Arabidopsis thaliana: one gene and its partners. The protein of the gene in region 2 interacts with the protein of the main gene of each other region in a pairwise test. Each region holds a gene or a part of one and is shown on either strand. Other genes may lie near its edges.

What was found.
Region 1: the proteins of RABA5a (region 2) and REP interact in a two-hybrid assay, tested with the Arabidopsis thaliana proteins (one large-scale study listed by BioGRID).
Region 3: the proteins of RABA5a (region 2) and CASP interact in a protein complementation assay, tested with the Arabidopsis thaliana proteins (one large-scale study listed by BioGRID).

What each region holds. Positions count from the first base shown.
Region 1 is NC_003074.8:2,033,905-2,040,846, forward strand, and holds REP (Rab escort protein), read right to left. Parts: upstream 3,888-6,942; 5' UTR 3,759-3,887; coding exon 3,043-3,758; intron 2,923-3,042; coding exon 2,800-2,922; intron 2,685-2,799; coding exon 2,585-2,684; intron 2,500-2,584; coding exon 2,461-2,499; intron 2,377-2,460; coding exon 2,124-2,376; intron 2,023-2,123; coding exon 1,947-2,022; intron 1,841-1,946; coding exon 1,648-1,840; intron 1,564-1,647; coding exon 1,480-1,563; intron 1,405-1,479; coding exon 1,297-1,404; 3' UTR 1,009-1,296; downstream 1-1,008. Other genes in the region: AT3G06545 (uncharacterized protein), read left to right, coding at 4,408-4,906, 4,997-5,073; RWA2 (O-acetyltransferase family protein), read right to left, coding at 5,504-5,737, 5,828-5,924, 6,060-6,116, 6,201-6,263, 6,351-6,439, 6,537-6,623, 6,725-6,840, 6,941-6,942. UniProt on the Arabidopsis thaliana protein: Substrate-binding subunit of the Rab geranylgeranyltransferase (GGTase) complex. Binds unprenylated Rab proteins and presents the substrate peptide to the catalytic component composed of the alpha subunit RGTA and the beta subunit RGTB.
Region 2 is NC_003076.8:19,276,249-19,282,486, reverse strand, and holds RABA5a (RAB GTPase homolog A5A), read left to right. Parts: upstream 1-2,739; 5' UTR 2,740-2,916; intron 2,917-3,695; 5' UTR 3,696-3,763; intron 3,764-3,832; 5' UTR 3,833-3,922; intron 3,923-4,047; 5' UTR 4,048-4,120; coding exon 4,121-4,460; intron 4,461-4,565; coding exon 4,566-4,891; 3' UTR 4,892-5,257; downstream 5,258-6,238. Other genes in the region: AT5G47530 (Auxin-responsive family protein), read right to left, coding at 6-260, 390-1,016; AT5G47510 (Sec14p-like phosphatidylinositol transfer family protein), read right to left, coding at 5,488-5,562, 5,655-5,696, 5,771-5,845, 5,927-6,001, 6,075-6,183. UniProt on the Arabidopsis thaliana protein: Intracellular vesicle trafficking and protein transport.
Region 3 is NC_003074.8:6,335,135-6,343,988, reverse strand, and holds CASP (CCAAT-displacement protein alternatively spliced product), read right to left. Parts: upstream 7,298-8,854; 5' UTR 7,066-7,297; coding exon 6,963-7,065; intron 6,563-6,962; coding exon 6,452-6,562; intron 6,333-6,451; coding exon 6,154-6,332; intron 6,072-6,153; coding exon 5,922-6,071; intron 5,699-5,921; coding exon 5,610-5,698; intron 5,523-5,609; coding exon 5,413-5,522; intron 5,294-5,412; coding exon 5,199-5,293; intron 5,102-5,198; coding exon 5,046-5,101; intron 4,947-5,045; coding exon 4,781-4,946; intron 4,664-4,780; coding exon 4,571-4,663; intron 4,439-4,570; coding exon 4,310-4,438; intron 4,187-4,309; coding exon 4,067-4,186; intron 3,947-4,066; coding exon 3,866-3,946; intron 3,438-3,865; coding exon 3,330-3,437; intron 3,228-3,329; coding exon 3,084-3,227; intron 2,995-3,083; coding exon 2,893-2,994; intron 2,803-2,892; coding exon 2,723-2,802; intron 2,636-2,722; coding exon 2,543-2,635; intron 2,454-2,542; coding exon 2,393-2,453; 3' UTR 2,201-2,392; and 1 more. Other genes in the region: ILR2 (iaa-leucine resistant 2), read left to right, coding at 811-1,423, 1,524-2,071; AT3G18470 (PLAC8 family protein), read left to right, coding at 8,291-8,345, 8,456-8,527, 8,612-8,824. UniProt on the Arabidopsis thaliana protein: May be involved in intra-Golgi transport.

The DNA of each region.
Region 1 (6,942 bases), on a different chromosome or scaffold from region 2:
TATTTCAGCAAAAAAAAAAGGAGATGAGTACTAGCTTCGTTTTCTATTAAAGTGCAAACCTCAAAATCACAATTCAGAAATTCTTTACAGTTTTACCTCATTTTTAATCTGAATCAAGAATCGATAACAATAATTTCGGACCATAATCTGAGCAGAAGATAACACACGGTAATAGTTCTTTTCGTCTTGTTATATTCTCATGTAAATAAACTATAGTGGTTTGGGCTTTTGGTCTAATCCTTTTAGCTTTCATGCCTCTCTTCAAGTTGGGTTTGGTATCCCTTTATTGGGGTTGGGCCTTTTTAGTTTCAGTTTTAAAATTTTGTAATCATCTAGTTGGGCTTGACCTATTTTGTAATGTTCCATTTTATGATAAAAAGTCAATAGAAAGACCTTTAGGCAAAAAAAAAAAAAAAAAAACTAGTCGTGAACAATAAGTTATACAACAAATGAAATCTCGTCCCACGCGCTGCAAGTCTTTTCAATTTTAAATTTATGCAAAAATCCCCGAAAAGGAGGGTTATAGTCCACGGATTATAGTCTCACGCGCCGAAACGCGCCTGTGATGCGAGTGGTTTTGTATTTTAAATTCCTACACGCGTGTAGTTCTGTTTTAATCTTTAATTGATAGAATTATTTCGGGTCCAATTCCGACGCTAATTCAGACCCAATGGGCTTTAAATTCTGTCAAGTGTCAACCTTTGGGATTGGATAAACGATTGACGATTCTCTCCAGAGAATAACCAAACCCTCATAATTGGGCCTCATAATGAGAGCTTGGCACCACATTACATATGATAACATTAACCCAACGATCTCGAAAAAAGCATTCAAATTCTTAATCTTGACTTCAAAGTCAAATTTCCTAGTCGATAATGATATCTTCCTTGATTTTTTAAGTTTCTGGACTTGGCCATGAAAATCAGAATTGGAGTCGAAATATACGAAATCGGAAGTGTTTATTCAAAGAGAAACATAGAACGATTATGGTTGTGATCGGTAAAAGATGTCTGAATAAATTAATTTCTATACAAATTCATTATTTCTTTTTAGTCGTTGATTTAAAGTTTGTGGAGTTTCAATGGTTAGACAAGCGGTCGTGGATTAATCACTTCTTCTCAATCCTTTATTTCTTCCCTAATCATAGTTGCTCTCTAGTGAATAAGTAAAGAAAATGGCTCACCCTCCCTCTGCCAATCTTCCTGCTTCCCCTCTAATAACGGGGTAACTATATGTTACAATCAAATAAATAAATGGGTATTCTAAGTCTTTAAAACCAATGGTTTCATTCATCAATCAATCTTCTATTTCAACACCACCATCGTTTTCCTCCTCCGTTGTGTTCTCCGCCGGTGAGGTCTCTTCTTTAAATAATTCTTCACTCCCCATGAGCTTTTCATATAGCTACCAAATCCAATATGATAACATTATCAAAACCATAACTTAATGAGATAACTGCTGTAAGGAGCTTCTACTAACCTTCACGGCTGATTCCACTATCTCATTGTAGTTCAAGTTTCCATCTGGACTAGGCATGGAACTGATCGTACCTCCAAATTCACCCTGATCCAAATCAAACTTTTATTTAGTGAAAATGACATTACCAACGTCGAAATGAAAAGGTAAATTCCCAATCACATTTTCCACCTTGACTAGCTCTTGCACGTACAGTGCTCTCCAGAGTAGAATAGGTTTTGTCTCAGAAGTATCATTCTCAACAACGGAATCGCTTTGACGATTCTCGGGAACAGGCAAACTGATGAGATTACTCATGGCTGATAATAGCGCCTTTATCCCTTGGTCATCATTGTCGCACAAAGTTGAAAGATATAAAACATGCCTGCAGCAGCAAATATATATGGCTTAGAGAACAGTTAAAGCTAAGCAAATGGAAAGAAACAGAACTAAAATGGGAAAAGATCATCTTAGGCTAAACCACAACTTACATGTCAGCAGGACAAACCGCTAAACCACTACCAAGCTGCAGAACCCGAATTGCAGTTAGCTGTTCTGGAAACAAAGCTAAGAGGAAAAAACTATTAATGTTAGAACCTTCAAAACGCAAAAGACGATATACATGTAAGTGAAACAACTAACTAGTGGGTCTTCAAAAATTAGCTTACATTTAGGTGGATAAACGACAAGAGCGTTTGATACATTAGCTTTCACAGAACCTCTAATGACGCATACTCCTCTTGCAATTTTCTCCTTATTGATCATCGACTTTGGGACAAGAACACTGAGAGTTTCATTTTGCTGATCTGTCAATGACGACAGAGACTCTAATCCAACAGTAACACATGGATCCAGAATCAACTTTTGGCTGAATATCTCTTGACCAGAAGCTAATCTAACCCCTTTGTAACCCCCAGTTTCCTGCAAAAAGAGTTTAAAATAATCAAGTAAGAATCCTTTCCGTCAACTAAACTTATCTTATGCTACAACTGTCAGCTAACTTGCCTTGTCTAAAAGCAGAGCAGTAATAGGCATCCGGAGAACCTGTGAAAACAATGAAAGACTAAATAAGTAACAAATACCACAACAGCAACACAGTACACAATGCAGAAAATTGTTCCAAACGTACATAGATACATCCTTTGACAGCAGCCCGACGACAAAAGGCTTGTGGAAGTTCTCCTTGTCCATAAATTGGGTATATCAACGCCCCAAGTGCGTTAGAAAACCTAAGGTAGAGAATCAAAAGCTAAATTATACTCAATATAACCAATGATAATGTAAACCAATAAGAAAGATGATCACAAATGTGTAAGAGCCAGGAATGAGAAAATGATGAATGACCTGCCCATAGATGTGATGTATAGAGCCAATCGATCTATCCCCTCTTTGGTCTTGAGTAAATGTCTACAAGTTTCCGTATTGTCTTGATCATAATCTAGCATCGCAATGGCATACAAGATGATCCTACACAGAAGAAGAGGAAACAAAGCCTTACCTATCAACATTTCAGAGACAAAATTCTAAGAAGCATTAAGCAGAGACAAATGTCCAAAGAGCTGCCATTAACAGAGAAGGAGGTTATACGATTTGATTTTGGGTGGTAAACGCATCTTTGACAAGAAGTCCACAAATGGACTCTCCATATCTTCCTCCGATATCTTGACTGTTGTTGAATCATCTTTTTCGGTAGAAGAAGCCAAGTGACTTTGAACAAGCTTGAAGAATTTCATGAGCTGATTCTTCTCCAACAGAGTCAAGCTCTTGTCCTTGAATATAGCAGCTCTCGAATCCGGCACATTTCGTAGCTCACCGCTCGAATCCCCAACGAAGCTGGCATCGATGCTCTTGAACTCAACGTAGTTGTTAGCTCCTGATTTCAGCATGAGATTAATTGATTCATCGGCACAGAAGACAACCCTAGGACCAGCCAAGTCAACGTTGAATCTTCTAGAGTGTTCTTCGAGGATCTCCGATTCGAAGCTCGAAATCTCCACGGAGGAATACAAGGATCGGTTAACGAGATCCACGGAGATAAAATCATGGTTGTTTGACGGAGGGAGAGGAGGAGATGACGGCGACGGAGGAGGAGAAACGGAGTTTGAGTGAAGGAAAGAAGTGAGATCGGGAAGGGAAAGAGAGGCGAAGTGAGAGCCGTAGAAGGGGTTAGGGTCGAGGTGGAGAACAGAACTACCGGAGGAGGAAGCAGCGGCGGCTAAGACGGACTCAGAGACTCCGGTGCCGACGACAATGAGATCGTAGTTGGAAGGATCAAGCGGCGGGTAAGGAGGGATGTCGATCATGGTGGCTCGAACAGATTTGTGTATCAAAAGTCGAACCAACGTGACTTCAGTAGCTTGATCGATACACGAGCGTTGAATAATCTGGGAAGATGTTGAGATGAGTGAGGAGAATCGAGGAAGAGGTTCAAGAGAAGAAGAAGTTTCTTCTTACATTACATATACAAACGTAATGGGCCTAAGATGTAAATGAATAAAAGAGGTAAGTGTGAATCGGCCCAACATGGCCCATCTTCTTAATCAACGCATAGACTATAGGGTCTACTGTTTTTCTTATGTTAGAAACTTAAAATATGATTTTTTTTTTTATATAAACGGTTTAATTGAAGAAAATAGAGTTTATACTTTCTTCGTTCACTTTACTGGTCAGTGGTCCACTTATAATGTGATTTTTTGAACTATTTTCTTTGTTGAATATAAAAGAATTTTATATATCTTGAAAAAAAAAAGTGTTAGATAAAGATTGCGAAGATTTCTTTTGTTTGTTGTGATTATGAAAATCTTCTAACCACTTTTAACTAATAATAGAGATATACCACATTCTTCTGGATAAAAGCAGATTTAACTAACTAAATAAAAGAAATCGAAAAACGAATTCACGACGACTATTAAATCTCCGAAACCCCATAGTCCTAGTAAAAACACACACACGATGGAGAAGAAGATTAGTGATATGGATGTGTTTGTTTGCAGAGGAATATGGTATATAATGACTCTACTCTCACTTTTTGGCCTCTCCAAATCACTCAATCTTCTCTGGCCACCTGGAGATTCATCGTCTCAGTCCTTTAGGGACGGTGCGGTCAGTGTCACAACATTCTACGCAGTGACGCTACTCAGATATCTTTTTTTCACCGCTCCTCCTTCCGCTTGCTACAAGGAGTTTACTACAAAGTTGGAGAGAGTACCTCAGGTTTTGTTTTCGACATTTTCCGCAAATTTAGCGTTGGCATTGCCCTTAATATATGAGCTATTGACAAACAAAGAGTTTGAATTGTCCATGTCGTTATTCACCATCTCGTTGTTCACCGGAGGGTTAGGGCTGATTCAGCTATCGGATAAGTTTAGGATGGAGATCGGACATGCTTTGTACACGCTCTTCCTCGGTTGGTTATCTTGTCTCTTTAGCATGTCTAACAATCTATACCGGGGTGACTATAAGGTACTGTTATTGTTTTTAATATCAGTACCTCATTTTTTGCTTTCCTTTGGGCCCGCGTATAATTTCTCCAAATGGGAAGACTCGGACACTTTCTCTGCCTACCGAGCAATAGAGGACAAGCTTGACACACATGCTATGACTACACTTTCTATCTAAGTATATCAATGTTTCCTTACATTAAAGTAATGGCTTTTGCAAGTCCATCATATTTTACTTTGATGTAAGATTAATCTGGATTTTATAGCTATACAATTACTCATATGGATTTCCTTTAACTTGTAATAGACAATAATAAGTCTTAACATCATCGTGAACAGAAACACAAATAAACAAGAAAGAACACCTTATTCATAAATAAATATACAGAAAGATGACATTACAGCAACATTGTATGCATCTACCTCTGATTTCTATCTTCGTATATCTACCATATCGCGTAGTTCAACTCCTATGAATTCATTCGAATAGTCCACTCTGGTCCGGTTCAGAAGTGCTTCACACCTGTTTGTTTCCAGTGAAATAATAAAACGTGAGATGGTTCAATCGAATATGAGAGGATGACATTCGTCCTCGCTTTGTGTATGCACTAACATATCAATGAACTCAAGTACCAGGGAAAAAAAAGCTTTCTCCCACACAAAAAGATAAAATTTTGACTTACCAGTTTTTGGGGAATTGTGATAAGAATAAATGAGAAAAAGTAGAGACAAGTGCAGATTATGAGTGCTGAGATCGTGTTGTAGACAAGGCGTTTGTCGTCCTTGGTTGGTATGAAGGCTGTTTTCAAAGTGTTGGTAAGCTCAAAGAGCCTATAAGAGATCTGAAAACAGAGCAACAAAAAGCCAATCAGTTTGTTTGTATCTGTCTGGCTTTCAACTTGTTTCTATCTGTTGTAGCAGGGTTTGCTTACAGCGACGTAAATCGAAGTAGTGAGCATGAAGTTCAACAATGGGTAATCCGGGACAAGAGATAGTAGTAATTTGGGTTGACCATCAGGAACTCCAGATCTGTGGGTGAATTAGATTATTTCATAGTTCAATGGGTCAGGAAAAATCTTAATAGCTTATTGTATTAGCATGCTCCACCATCAATTTCCCACTTACTCTACAATTGAGAACTTGGGCAAGAAAAGTGTGACATACCTGAGCCATATATGAAACTGGGAGATATATGTCTCCAGTGTTATCTTTCCAAGCCACCTGAAAGTTCATGAACAAATTTTTCTTGAAAAAATCGTTATAAGAGGATAAACATATCTATTGACTGAATTATTTTTTACTTACGCCAGAAGGGTCAAACTGTAGCCGCGGAAAGACTGGGTGATGTTCCGGAGACAGATATAAACACTGAAAGAAAAGCAAAACGAGGTACACAAGTAAGGACTGGTTCTTAGAAGAGTGGTTGTATAGAGATTTGCAGGTAAAGTGGACTACGTTATTGGAATCCAAGAGGTGTAAGGATGATATTTGTTGTAAGTTAACTTGTCCATCTTGTATATATACTCGTACCAAAAATATCCCACCTAAAAGTTTCATAATAACAAAGATAGATTAGCTGGAAGAACAATATGCAAGAGGCTTCTTTCACCTGAAAGAAAGTCAAATGATGACTTGTAATACCGTTAGTGCTATCAGTGCCACAGATGTTTTGATAGCCACCCTGAATTTCATCTCAGCTTCCTCCAGTTTATCCATCCAACTTTCAACCTATAAGATACATAATCAAGGAAATGAAACGGTAAGTCTTTATCACTGAGCTAACCATTTGTGAACAGAGTTGATGTGAAGTTCTAGTATTGGGAACTTACAGTTGGGTGGTAGTATGCATATAGCATCCCGATTATCCATATGTACCGATCAAGTCCAGAGCGGAAATGCCACTCATGCAAGAGGGGAAGCTGAGGTTTTGCGGGATCATTGTAACCTGCAATTGTTGTTTTCAAGTTTTGTTTTCTAAACAGCTGTCTTGTGAGGCATGAGCAAATTGTTTATCTTGGTAAACAAATATTTGGGTTCTCACTTACCC
Region 2 (6,238 bases):
CCTACCTGAATTGTTGCGAGGCAGAAGAGAGCGATCCCAACAGCACGGTGAAAGGTAAACTGAATCCCGGCTGATTCGTTGCCCAGTTTGAGACCGGTCGCCCAACCGGCAACACCAATGATGTAAGCAGAAGACTGGCAGAAAACATGAAGGTAGAACCAAGCAGGATCTGCTGATTTTGAGACTTTCAAGTAGCGAGCAATGATTGCTCCTATTGGCATCATTATACCCCAGCTCACACCGTTCAATATTCCATGTATCTGCAATAATGATTAGGAGTGATAAGTTTCATAAAACCAACTAACAATGATGGGATTGATAAATCTCATTTCATATGTGAGATTCCTAAAAAACATGAAATGAAGAAATTGATAAAACCATGGACTCACGTTGCGTTTGCGTAGCTTGGAAGCTCCTCCTGCTCCGGTAGAGGTGGATCCAGATGCACCAGAGACAAGGTTAAGAGTAGAAACAGAACGAACATTGTTGCCAGAAGTTGGATGAGGCAGAGGATTGTTCCCTGACAGTGACCCATCTTGCCACACAGTGTTAATGATTCCACCATTCGCAAGTGGAAGATTCAGAATTGCGTAGATGACCATCTCGTTGTTTTGGTAAGTGGCAGACAACTGAGAGACGTTGAAACTCAGCTCAGCTTCTAGGAGACTCGTTTGGTAGCTACTGATGGGTGACGTATAAGCCCTAACGGTGCCGTCTGATTGTGGATAAGCCACAATGGCTTGAGCTCCGACCATGCCAGTAGATGTGGGATTCACGGCCCATGCCACCCATTTCCCGGGGGTGAGCTTTGTGTGGCGATACGCGATTTGGAGATTGCCTGAAGAAGAATCGTAAGTGTAGTGGAGGAAGGAATCAAGAACAGGTAGGTCGTTGCAAGACTCAAAGAGACGGTTGGTGGAGAATTTGTAGTTGGAACATTTCTGAGCCAAGGCGGATTTGGTGATGATGAAAATGAAAAGAGAGAGACAAAGGAGAAGATTTGAGGATATGGCCATGGAAACAGAATCTCGAGTAATGATTAAAAGATGGATGAATGATAAGATTTAAGTATGAAGGGGAAGAGAGGAGAATGAGATTAAGTATGAATAGAAAGTGGAACAAGTAGGGTTTGGTTTGTTAGTTAATCTGTCTTAATACAGAATCTCTAATTCTCTTCACACGTGTCCTTTTTTCATAGTTTAATCTTTCTTTTAATCCTCTGCTTTTGTTCTTGTTCATCTATCAATTGCAATGTTTTACCTAAGAGTAAAAAATAGAAACATTATAAATGAAGCGTTCATTGTTTTCCCAAAAAGGTTTGACGTGTAATGTATTTCTTCCTTAAGAGTCTTTAACCCTCTCAAGCAAAAACCAAGAAATAAAAATATGAAGGGGTCATCTTCACGTTCAAAAACCAGTTCACACCAACTTTATTACGAGAACTCATTTCTCGTGTTTATTTTTTCTTTGTTTGTCATGAAAAATCTTTTTCATTGTATATAGGTTTTGTCATGACATTGCGCGTTAAGTTAGATTATAATCTTGGTACGCTTGGGAATTGGGATGATGATAAATTATTGAGCACACTAAAATATTAGGTTTCATTGGGTTTAGTGGTTCAATTGACGAAAGTAGACTAGCGAAGGGAGTAGTGGTTTTCGCGTAATAAAGGGCAAACACGTCTATGCCTGCAACTACTAACGTTGTGCATGTATGATGTACCCTAAGTAAACATCTACCACCTTATGAGTATGGACTGGAGCGGACCAGACCAACAAACTGTTTATGAGAGATTCCAATCCAAGGGAAGTGGTTGGGTTTAGCTATTTTTAGAGTTATGTTCTTCTATATATAGGCCGCGACCAACATTTCAACGGTTAAGACCATGTACATGAGTGATATTTTTAGAATATCATCAGTGTAAAAATTATTTTTTTATTAACCAAACAATTAGAATGAGTTTGATTAGTATCATTCCAGTGATTTTCTTGATATCAGTATCATCTACGTGACATCTCCTGATTGGTAGCATTTATTAAAAGTAAGAAAAAAAATATTTATCTATTAAACAAACATTATAAATAATACTAAAATTTTTTTAATGATACTTTGAGAATATCACCTATAAGCATGCTCTAACCAGGTGGATGTATAATAATGTCCTTTCTTGGTCAACGCTCAAATTACTACCTGCCACATGTCCCCCACTAGATTCTTTGGTGTAGCTGGGCTCAGTTTGAACTAGACTCTTTTATATGGGCTTAAGTGTTAATTATCAAAAAACAACCCAAAATGAGATATTTAGATATAATATGTTTTTGATGGAAAAAAAGGAAAGATATAATATGTTTTTTTGATGAATGAAAAGTATTACAATTATTCAAAAAATCACTAGTTTCCTGAAAAACAATACAAATTGCATAGTTTCAGAAGGATAATCTGATTTGGGTAGAGTTTGTTGATGTTAGAAATATAAATATTTTCTTTTATAAATAAAATAGGATGGAAAATCCATCATATTTGAAAGTTTTGTTGTGTCTAATAAATAACAGTAGAGTGTACATAATCGGTAACTTTTTTTTCCTTAACTAAAATTTTAAGTGAAACTAAAACAAAGGTGGTAAAAAAAAGTAGAGCCTATGGTAAAATAGGGTAAGAGGGTCCATAAGGGCCCAAGATGTTTTATTTTTGCTGAGCCCATTATTACCAATCCGAACCGAAATGGAAAAACTCCGGTCTCTTTCTTTCTCTCTCTCTCTGCCAGAGTTACTGCGTGTCTTTGATTTCCCAGAAGAAGGCGTTGAATCCTTTCGTTTTCCGATTCCATTTTTGGGATCTCTTGTTTCGTTTTCTTCTCTTTGGATCCATTCCATTCCCATGTTCCCCAATTTCTTTAATCGGTGTTGCTTCCACAAGGTAATTTTGTTTTCCTCTGCACTTCCCGAGAATAAAGAGAAGGTTTTTCTCAATTTTCCCCTTATGATTATCCCTGTAAATGCGAGTTTTTTGTCCTGTTTTGTCTAATGGGTCTTCATAATTCGTGATCATCAACGTTTTCTCTGTCTTGTGTGTGTATGTATGTGTGTGATCTTACATCTGACGGGAATGTAATGTGATGATCTCTCATGTAAAATTCTGTTTTTACTTGGTTTGATTGTTTCTATTACAATGCTCTGTTTTTGCTTTAAAGAGTTCTTACAATATCTCCTCCTTCTCTTTTGCGAAAATGGGTTCTTACTTGGGTTTAGTTTCTTAGGTGAAGTTTCGATTATTTTTTTGAATTGGTGTTTTATAAGTTTTGATGTCTCATCATCTTTTTCAGAAAGAAATGTGTGGCCTACTTTCATTTTCTAATGCCGTATATGAAGATTTTCATATTCAGGCAGATATTATAAACCTGCAGCAATCATTAACTCGATTCATCTTTAATGTGAGCCCTAAGGACAAGACTGAGAATTTTCTATCAGTGTTTAAGATTGCACTTTGTGTGATCAAGTGAATGAGTATTGTTGGTTGAATTGGGCCCGCGCTTGTCTTTTCTGTCTCAATTCTGTTTCTCCTTATGATAGAGAGAATATTTCTCTGCTTTCCTATTGGTGGCTTTCATGATTTGTGAATAGTCAGTATCTACCGACTTTAACTTAGATTCTTAGGGTGAGATTATAACTAAAGTTAGCTTTACTTGTTGTATATAGGCTTCATGAGCTTGTATAACAAGTTTCTCTAGGAGGTGTTAAAGAGCCAGATCAAGCTTTCAGAAGAGGTAACTTGTATTGCTGTCTTACTTTGGATCCAGAATGCGTTTATGTGCTGAATACTTTGCTTGTGATAGATTTTCTTAGGGTGGTTGAGAGCTGAAAGTTTTGATATTTAGTCAACTTTGTTCCACTGAACCTTCTAGGAAGCTACCTCAAGTAGACAGGTGATCTTAAAGATTCTCTTGTTTCTCTTAGATCTCAATCTTTACTGTTTCTCAAGTTTCCTATGCCAACTCTACTTATTCTTGTCTTCCCTCTTCCTCACTTTGGCTCTTTGTTTTGTCCTTAGCTTTGTTGACGGGCTTCAAGCCAGTGGTAAAGATATGCTTCTGTAGAAGGGTTAATCTTGAGCATTAAAGGACATGGCTTTCTACTCTGAAGACGACAAGAGCGAAGACTACCTCTTTAAGATTGTTCTAATCGGTGATTCTGCTGTCGGGAAATCAAATTTACTTGCCAGATTTGCGAGGGATGAGTTCTATCCCAATTCAAAGTCGACGATTGGAGTGGAGTTTCAGACACAGAAGATGGATATAAACGGGAAGGAGATCAAAGCACAGATATGGGACACAGCAGGTCAAGAACGTTTTAGAGCAGTCACTTCTGCATATTACCGAGGTGCAGTTGGAGCTCTTCTGGTTTACGATATCAGCAGACGGCAGACTTTTCACAGCATTGGTAGATGGCTCAACGAGCTACACAGTAAGAAACCTCTTATCTTTTCTTATCTGCTACTAAACAATCTCCCATTTGCTAATTGATTCAAGAATAATGAAAGTGAGGGGTGTCTTCATAAAACTGTTGCAGCACACTCTGATATGAATGTTGTGACGATCCTGGTGGGCAACAAGTCGGATCTGAAGGACTTGAGAGAAGTGTCAACAGCGGAAGGGAAGGCATTGGCTGAAGCACAAGGTCTTTTCTTCATGGAGACATCGGCTTTGGACTCATCAAACGTGGCAGCTGCATTTGAGACGGTTGTGAAGGAGATATACAACATACTGAGCAGGAAAGTGATGAGCTCACAGGAGCTAAACAAGCAAGACCCTGCTTCACTGAGCAATGGCAAGAAAGTTGTGATACCATCAGACGGGCAGGGCGAGTTCAAGAAAGGTGGATGTTGTTCTTCTTGATAGAAAACTGAAATTGTAGAGAGCTTAAAAAGGAAGACTATTGATCATCTGTTTGATTGTTTATGTTGTCCACGTTGCCATGAACGTTGAAATTTGAGATGGGCTTGTGTTGTGGTGTGGAAGTGTTTAGGTGTAGTAGCAATCTGTAAATTTTCTATTGCAGAAGCTTTTATGAGACTCACACTACTCTATAAAGTTTGCAACTCATGATAATGAATGATGATGATGATTAGTCTTCTGTTAGTGTCACCTGTTATACATCACTGCCAAGTCTATAGATCCTTTTACAAGAAAATGGTTTACTTGTAAATAAAATAGTTGTAATATGTAATGAATATTGTTATTTCTATGGAGCATTTGTCATCGGGAAGAGGATCAAATCGAGCTGTGGAATTAGAAGAAAGTTGTGGTGCAGAGATCACACGTGCAATTGCATGTGAGACAGATTGGCTCCACACATGATTGCATTTAACGCCGTAGTACGGATTCCACAAACTTATCTATCATCTATCATCTATCATCATCATTATCGTCATCATAATACATTTCTTTTCTTCAGATAATCAAACCGGACATATTCTTAACTATATTGCTTTCTAAACCGGTTTGCATTTGGTTATAGGTTGATTCGGTTGAATGGCCTCAATGATCTCCGCGAGTCCATTCAAGACCTGAAAATAGGAGGAAGACCATTGGATCTTAAGCATAGACAAGTAAAACTCATATGCTGTGTAACCATTTAGCTTCTCTTGTCTCTCTTTACCTTTTTAGTCTCATGGAGTGATATTTCCAACATTTCTATCCTCTGCAGGAACCAAAACACACACAAATCAGTCAAAAGATTCATGAAACTAAATTTCATATTATCCTAGATTTCACCTTCTGGGAATCCTTGACAGCAGTTTTCAGGGCAGCATACTTCTCCATTGTAATCATGACCTCGCCTAAACTTTCCTGCATTCCATTTATATATATCTGAATCAGCTTCAATATTGAATTCAATAAATCGATTTCATTTACACTATCTTTATGTACCTTTTGATTGGCTGGAGCATTTTCTGAGACTTTATCCATAGTCTCTGAATGAGCATCTTCGATTGTGGAAGGCTCCTATATCGAAGATAATATCCAATTTTACTGTGTATAGCTTGATAAAAGTTCAATAAATGGTAATGGCACAAACCTCGATCTTTTCCTTGATGCCTGGATCATTCCAAGGTCCTTCATCACTGAAAAGACAGCCTCCATGATCTGAACAGGTGCAATTTCCTCCAAGAAATGTTGGTAAGTTGCTGTTTTCAGAAATCAAACACAAATATTCCTGAGGTTCCTCATTTATGAAACAAA
Region 3 (8,854 bases), on a different chromosome or scaffold from region 2:
AGATAAGCATTCGTTTGTACATCACATGCGTGCCATTAGAAAAAGAATTAGAAGAATCTTTGTGGGATTTTCCCATTTATATAAAGTATGTTTTCACCGGATAACATTCTCTTTTTTTCCACAGCCTCTCTCTTCTAAAGTCCAAACATTGTATTGGCGTAAAGCTAACTCAACTTGATTCCTCTCATTATGTGACGGTTTTGGAAAATGAGGAATGTTTTGTTCTTAGAACGCCATAGTTAAAGAAGTTCCACTCTAGTTAATTACCAAATTTATATGTGGCAGGAAATACAAAAACAAGAATATCATCTTCCGATTTTGATCACTTGTGTCACGTAAACATAGATTTTACTAATGGAATGAATGAGAAATTTAAACATCAATTTAACTAATGGAATGAATGTGACACAAACAAAAAGAAGGTTGGAATTTGGAACCAAAACGCGTTCAAAGGAAATTATATTATTGTCTAAACTTGAAATTGTATTCCAATTTTTTGCTATTATATACAACTTGCAAAAAATTGCAAGTCCCGAATAAAAAATCATCACACAATAGTAAGTTGTAGAGTTTTAAAGATTTCCTCGTTTTAATGAGAAGTTGAAGCGGTGAAGAACTTTTCTTTCTTTTCTTTTCTGATAAGTGCAATTTACTAAAAAATTTAAAACATATGTTGTGTCCCGAAGCGACACTGTGTCTACCAAACCTTCATTCATAAAAGTCAAAACATTACACATCAAGCAAAACGTATTTTCTTCATCAAAACCTCTGCTTACGATCTGTTTCTTGTTAATAAAGATATCAATCACTATGGCCTCTGAATCTTCAACTCACAAGACGAAGCTTGAGAAGAAGACTTGTCTTAGTTTCCTTTCTAGTTTCACCCGAAGCCAAATCGTGTACCCAACGCAAGGTATCTCACACTACTACCCTTCCTGCCACATGATGGTCCATGCTATGAACATTACACTTTGCGATAATTTTGATTTCAAACGGGCCAATCCCAACTATCACCCCTACATCCTCCGCCTCTACTGTGGTGTTCTCTTTTGGATCCAGTGTCTTAGAGCTGGAAACGATGTGAATGATCTTACTGATGTTCAACACCGGTTCCTAAACCGGTTCTTGGACAACCATCCCTTGGAAACTCTCGCTGTTCCCGGCCCTCTCCTCGGACTCTTCAAGACTCTTTGCTCTTCGCAGCCGGAGTTTCCTCATAATCATAATGGGAAAGTGTATCCTCGCATCCCTGCCCAACCAGGCCCGGCTCGACGTGACGCGTTCATGCGAGATCTTCTTGAAAGCCACTTCTTGCCTAACGTCCCTGGCATCTTCGCCCTCTTGGAAGACTTAACCGCCTTTTTACCCAATACCTCCCGTCTATCCAAAGAGAGGCAGGCACATTCCCGTTACCCAAAATACCGTCTCTAACTTCGGTCACAAGACCTTTGGTCTCCATGCAAGCAGGACAGAGGCTGAAAAATGGTCACTCGTTTTACCTGGCTTACAGTACCCTTGTGAAGCCGATCAAAGCCTGAATGAGGCGTTTGCTGATTGCTACAGCAATTTTAACTTTCAGGTCACTTCTGCCGCTGATAACCTCGAAAAGATCTCTTCCTTTCTCCACATGAAACACAGCATGGCTTGGTTCAATCAAGTAAAAGGAGTTGCGGATGATGTTGCTGCATCCTTTGAAGGATCCGGCACCCTTGCTGACTGCTCTCCACATGGGTTGGTTGCTAACCAAGTCATGGTCGTTCTCTCTACCCCGGAACATCTTCCAGAATCACCAAATTGTATTGCTGATAAGCGTGCAACCTATGAGTTCGGTTACCAGCTCAAAAGCACAGTTCGCAACCTCCCTCCCCTTGCGGAAGCACTTGCCGCCTTCTCTCAGACATATATCAGGATGTTTCCTAACCATCCCTTCTTCGGGACGTTTGGGTCGAAAACTCTTGATCATGGCCCGTTCTGGAAAATAAGGCCTATTGGCTCCAGCCTTACCGATAACAGCTCCTACCTCACTATCCCATCGATTGTCAAGCAAGCATTCAAAGGCCCAGCCACGTAGGTGTTGTTGCCTAACAGATATCAAGCAACGACTTTCATTTTATTTTATTTTGTATTTGGATAGCAACAATTATTCCTGTCGGATTTGTTATCGTTTTGGTGCATTTTTCATGGTTATTTATGTTTCGAAGAAAAGTAAACCAGATCTTATTTAGATTTCTGCAGTTTTCTGAAGGAAGTTTTTTCTGTGGCTTTATATATGTATCGAGTGATTTGGATCCCTCTGTACAAATATTCAACCGTTTTAGAATTGCCCACGGAACACTACAAGGACAAGAAAGAACATAACGACCAAAAACGAATAAGTCCCTAGGGTGAGAGCTTAAAGACCGTGAGGAAGGTTTGTGGTTGCTTCTGTCATTAGAGTCTCCTCTGCTCCATGGCTAAACCATAAATAAAGAAGAAGAAATTAAATAAAATCAATCACATAATGGACTTGTAACAAAAACAAAAATTGGTGGGTTTGTTTTACCTGAGATAACTGTAAGCAGACATACGGTAGAGACAAGTGAAGACAAGGACGTGCAATCCTATTGTGTAGAAGAAAGCAAATGTCCTTGCGTATCTGAAAGATCCAATCATGAAATTGAAAATAACCGAAAATTCTGTGATCGAGTATGAATGTGAATAAACTTGAGAGCAAGAGGATTACTTGTTTCCTAGAAGGAACCGCCCACTGCTTAGCGTAATCCGATCTCTGATTCCCAAATCTTTGATCCGTTGCTCTCTTTCCTATCAAACACATATAAATAGGAAAGGGTTAATGTTTAGGAAAGAAATATAAGGCTTGTGTCGATGATAGCAGAATGTTTTATTTTTTACCTTTTTCGAGAATGCTGCAAAAGGGTTGATGTCATCTTCGTAAATTTTCTTGTATTTTGATTCGACATCCGAGCTGAATCCACTTTCAAGATCTTCCACATACTGAGATTGGAAAACGATATCAACCATGGAAAAAACCCGATCACGAGACAGAAAAGGTTCAAGGGAAATGTATCGCAGAAAACAAATACCTTTTTCGATCCTCGGGAAACAACTTTATCATGGTTATAGTCTTGGACATAACGGATTTTCCCATAGAGTTTGACGTTGTCTGCTTTGGTCTTCTCCAATTCGTCTGTGAGAAAACCTATCTTCTCTTTTAATCGCCTTATTTCCTGCAATGTTAAGAGAACACATAAAATTCAGTTCAAATAAATTTAACTGGAGATAGAGAATACAGAGGGAAGAGGATCATTTATATGTACAACTAACTGTACCTCTTCTGTTTCCCGTAATCGTGCTCGGAACCGATCTCTTTGGCTGCAGATAACTTTTAGCATTGAGCTTTGATCTTGCTCTGATGGAACATGTTTCTGATCCATAGGCTAATAAAAGGAAACACAAAATGATAAAGAGCAGTAGTTAGTGATAAGTCTAATTGTGAGGTATATAATATACCATATCATGGAAATACCCTTAGTTGTATGAAAACTTTTTAATGGTTTGACAAGAAGTTCAGAGGTATTTTGCTTTTGAAAAAAAAATAGATCATGGTAAAATATATACGTACCACGATTCCCTAGCAATATTTTAATTCACGCCATAAATAGAAGGCAGAGTGAGCATACATGTTAGACCGTTAAGATTATCTAGTAGAGAACTTAAAGCGATAGGTTACTGTTTATCTAACTCTTAGTTCTGAACGATTCCATCCTTTCTTTTACTTTTGGGAAAATTTTCCTGCTTTAAGAGTATTGCATGATAAATTACACGACTCATTGACTCATATATGCACAGGGCCAGAGAGAAGTACCTCAGACTGCTCAGCCACACCTGCTTCTGAGAACTCCCATTCATCAAATAGAGCACCTTTTCGCTCTTTTGAACCGTAACCCTGTGTAACAAGTAAATAAGGTTTCAGTATAATCAAAGACTTTGATCGAGTTTCTCCTCCTTAGTAGCAGTAGCACAGATACCTTTTAACTTAAAATGGTAACTACACACTCTTACGTACCTTCAAAATATCATCCTCCAACTTTTGTATCAGTCTTTGTTGTTCATTAACCTTAGCTGTCAGTTCTTCTCCCTTGGCTTCAGCCTTCTCAAGCAAGGAAGCTTTCTCAGAAAGTTGAACCTGGGAAAAGAAGTGGTGTGAATCGACCAGTGACTTTACTTGTGTATGTTCACTGAAAAGGGAAAGAGTAACGAAAAGACAGAATTACAGATGGTGGTGGTTCATTCCGTAGAGGTCATGTACCTTTAACTGAGTGACCTCATGTTCCATTTTTCTGTTTTTATCAAGAAGAAGCGACTCCATTTTGCTCATCTCTTCACCAGTGGTAGCAGCATCCCAGTCTTCAGCCTCAATTGAATTGTAACCTACAGCCTAATATGCAACAATGATATTACTACATACGATCGTACCGTTACCAGAAAGAACAAGGTATGGATCTGTGGCAAGAAGTTAATAAGAAGTTAAACTAAGTGAGCACCAAAAAACACTTGAAATGATGAATACCTGCAGAATTTTCACTTTTTTGCGCAAATCATCAACTAATTTTGCTGATGGTCTTTCTTGAAGCTCTTTCTTCATCTCTTCAATGATAGTATCCTGGTTTAATACCAAATGACGGTAAGCTAATATTAGACATTGAAGGGACCGGAAACTAATTTTCAGAACAAAATATAATTTCTCAGCATAAAAGACAAAACATAGCACAAATTTCACCTTTTTATTGAGCAAAGAATTCAATTTCTTTATCTCGGCAACATGACTTTCTCGCTCATTAGCTAAAGCTGTCTCAACATTGTGAATCTCCATATTAAGCTCCGAAATAATCTTCTCTTTTGCAGTTAACGAGTTCTCCAGCATACTATTCGAATCAATATTATCACTGTAGAGAAAGAGCATAACAAAAAAATTAAAACAAAGCAAAAACTTAGATAAAAGTTATTTGACTCCTTGTTATATGGACGCATAAGTGTCACCTCACCTTTTCTTGTTATCAGTATCTTCATTAGCTGTTTGCAGCTGAGAACGCAGATGTCCCTGTTACAAACCAATAAACAAAATTAGAGAGCTAAAAACGGTGGTTTATCTTAGGGCATTCCCTTAATTCAAACAAAGAGAGCATGATATGAAAGACCTTTTCCCTCTCAAGAGTAAGGAGTCGGGTCTGAGCACGCTCCACTTCATCCATCAATAGACTAACTTCAGATTGCTTCCCCGCGGTCTCTTCGTCTGATGGTTTAGACAAAGGTGACATATATTAACAAGACAAGAAGGAACAATATGTAAGGGAGACCATTCCAATTATGAAAGCACAATATGAGTCACCATATTAAGGCTCAATGCACCACCTGATTGAGCACGGAGTTCAAAAAGTTGGTTCTGTGCTAACTCATGCAATTTTTGCATAGTGGAGACGCTGTCTTTTGCTTGCCTTAACTGATCTTGCAAAGCTTGCTCCCTGTTAAACAGTGAACAAGGAAAGGTTGGTGCTTCCTCGAAAACTTTCTAAACACCCAAAGCATGCAGAAGAGAATTTTTTTTTTACCTATCCTTTAAAAGCTCCATCGTTTTCTGGTTTTCCTCAGCCAGATTTCGTTGCTTGATCTCAACAACTTCTTTGATTTTTTCTTCCATCTGAATCCAAATATAACAACTCGATATCACTGCTAATCTTCGACAGTTATTCGTTACAAGATCACAAAATAGCATCTCTATATAAATCATGCTTATGGCTCAGTGTATAAATTTGCATTTGACCTCCTAGAATAGACTGAAAAATAATCAAGGAAGCTGTGCTTTACATTCATTTAGTTTTATCCCTATATCAATTAGAAGAAGAGGTTAAAAGCAAGCTGACCTGTTGCTCAAGCTGGCGGTTCCGTTCTTCAAGCCTTCTTATTGTGGCCTGCTGATTTTTAAGATGAGTCGCTTCTGTCCTAAACTCCTCAAGTTCAACTTTCATCTTTCGATTTTCAGATTCCACTTCAGATAATTTACGATCTTGCTCCTGGAATACAGCAATTAGTTGGTTCTCAGGCTAAAGGACTTTAGGTGTCTATTATGTTAACATTAGATAAGTGGATAATTACAGCAATAGAAGCAAGAGCAGGAAACGGATCAGGTGCTTCATAGAGTTTCTGATAGATATTTAGGAAAGCATTCTCCCCAAACTTGGCCCTCTTGGTAATATTATCTACTTCTTCTTGATATCCCTTGAGGAGGGAATTAAACATACTAAGTTTGTTCTCAGGCGAAGCTTTCTTGAAGTCTGTTGTTACCAAGATAAACCAAAGAATATGTTAACATCTCTTCGCTGGAACCTATCGAGGTCCCTCAGGAGAAAATGTTGAAGTGTTAAGCAATATAAAAGGTGAAACAAAAAAGTACCTCGTGTGCTCTCTGCAAGCTTTCGGCGATTCTTTTGGCTGTTTTCTTGATTTTCAGCTATTCTAAGCCCTTGCTCGTCAAGCAGGCTTTTCTCCTTCTCCAAATCAAATTCTGCAACAAGTAGTTTAAAGACAAGTAAATGGATCATTCGGGAAGAGCTTTCTTCTATGATGATGTCTATCAAAACAGCGAGCAACCACAGAACCAGTTCTCTAATTGAAACTGGTTTCGTATAACAAATACAAAAGCCGGAGAATCGAGATGAAACTAGTTATCAGTACTGAAAAATGTGTTGATAACTTTTAAAGCAATAAACTGAAATTTCTCAATCCGATCACATTAAACTACCAATGCAATCTCCCCGAACATTCAGTGAGAATCTCATTAAGTCTTACTACTTAAACGGAATCCTAACAAACGAATTTCTCCTAACTACAAAAACAAGCTCATCCTCAGCTTCACTACGAGTCGAAGAAAACGAATAGATAGCTAGACATAATCTGAAACAAACCTTTCCAGAAATTGGTGACGACAGGAATGGGAGAGGAAGAAGAAGAAGAAGAGGAAGGAGGAGGAGTTTTATCTCTTTCCGATCCATCTTGCGAAACCTCCATTGTACTCGTATTCGGATCCCGATCTCGTTTCTCCGAAGAACACAAGCAATACTTCGATACGAAGAAAGTTTCTGGGAAGTGATTTCTTCTTCGAATCCGACGAATGAATTAATGAGTTTTCTTATTGTTGTTTTGTTGAATTTTTACTACTCCGATCGGATCTTCTGAGTTCAGATACATTAGAGTTTAATGGTGGTAGAAGCGTAATTCTTATTTATTTTTTTGTTATGAGTGTGATCCTAAACAGGCTTCAAAAACGTAAGGTCCAAAAGATATAGAATAACCAATGGGCTATTCCTTGCGCCATTCATAGGCCCAGTATTGATTTAGTAGAATAAATTCATGTTTATTGCACATCTAAGTTGAAAACATTTGTCAAATTTTGTTATGACTATTATTAATTAATAAAATTTTAAGTTTAAATTCTAATTTATTTCACTGGTTAGAAAATTTTAAAAGTTTATTTTTTTTCCTTCAGTTCTTTTCTTTGTAATTTGTTAGTATTAAGTAATATTACTTTACTAATAAAACCAGAATATTACATTAGATATATTTTTCAAAATTTTATTTTAAAGTTTGCAAGTTTGATTCCTTATATAGAGGAATAATGTTTGAACATATTATCTCTTATCTACAAATAATTTTAATAGAAATTTTATGAATAGAAAAATGTTGAATTTAATATTTTAAAATTTAGCATAGCCTGTTTTATTTTACTTTCGCATTTTTAGGATGTATATTTCTTTTTTATTCATAATTTCTTTAATTTTCTTAGTCATTAAATTAAATTCTTTGTATCTTGTATATATGTGTGGATTAAACCAATCCCAAAAACGCGTTTACATATTACTTTTAAGTAGCTTAAAATCTCTCACAATCAGTAAAATCTCTCACCTTCCTTAAACAAAAATCAATTTTCAAAAAACCTTCCTCCTTTTAACAAAAAGTGCAACGTACTAGTTTTAAAAGTCTTTTACTCTTTTTTACAACTTTTATGATTTTTCCCAAAGTGCAATGTACTAAAAATTAAACATTTGTAGATCTCTCGAAGCGATCCACCATCAACCATATATATACCCACCCACCCTCCATTCTTAAAGCATCTAACAACAAAAATCTATCTTCAAAACCCTAATTAATTGATTTACGATCTCGCTTATCAAAAGATCGATCAACACAAAACTGGTTAAAACCTGACGCAAGATTTGGTTGAAGCTACTTTACAATGGAAAAGCAATGGACTTCTGGTCTTTTCAGCTGCATGGAAGACAGTGAAACTGGTAGAAATTCTATATAAATTTAATCAAGTTGTCCTTTAATCTTTATACATATATAGATCTATTGTCAGGATTGTATAATGATTTGTTCCTTTTGGTTTGTGCTGGATAAGCTTGCCTCACATGTTTCTGCCCATGCGTCACTTTCGGACGGATCGCGGACATTTCCGACGAAGGAAGGACCGGTAAGCCATACATTCACATATGTCATATCTAAACAATGTGTGTGTGTGTGAATTCACGTAACGTCGTATATATAATGTACGTAGGTTGTGGGAGATGTGGGGTATTTTACGGGCTAATATGTTGTGTGGTCGGCTTACCTTGCTTGTTCTCATGCACTTACCGGACCAAGATCCGAAGCAAATTCGGGTTACCGGAGTCTCCAACTTCGGATTGCGTCACTCACTTCTTTTGTGAATGTTGTGCTCTTTGCCAAGAACACCGTGAACTCAAAACCCGTGGTCTTGACCCCTCTATTGGTAAATTGCATTGTTTTGTGGACTCACTTT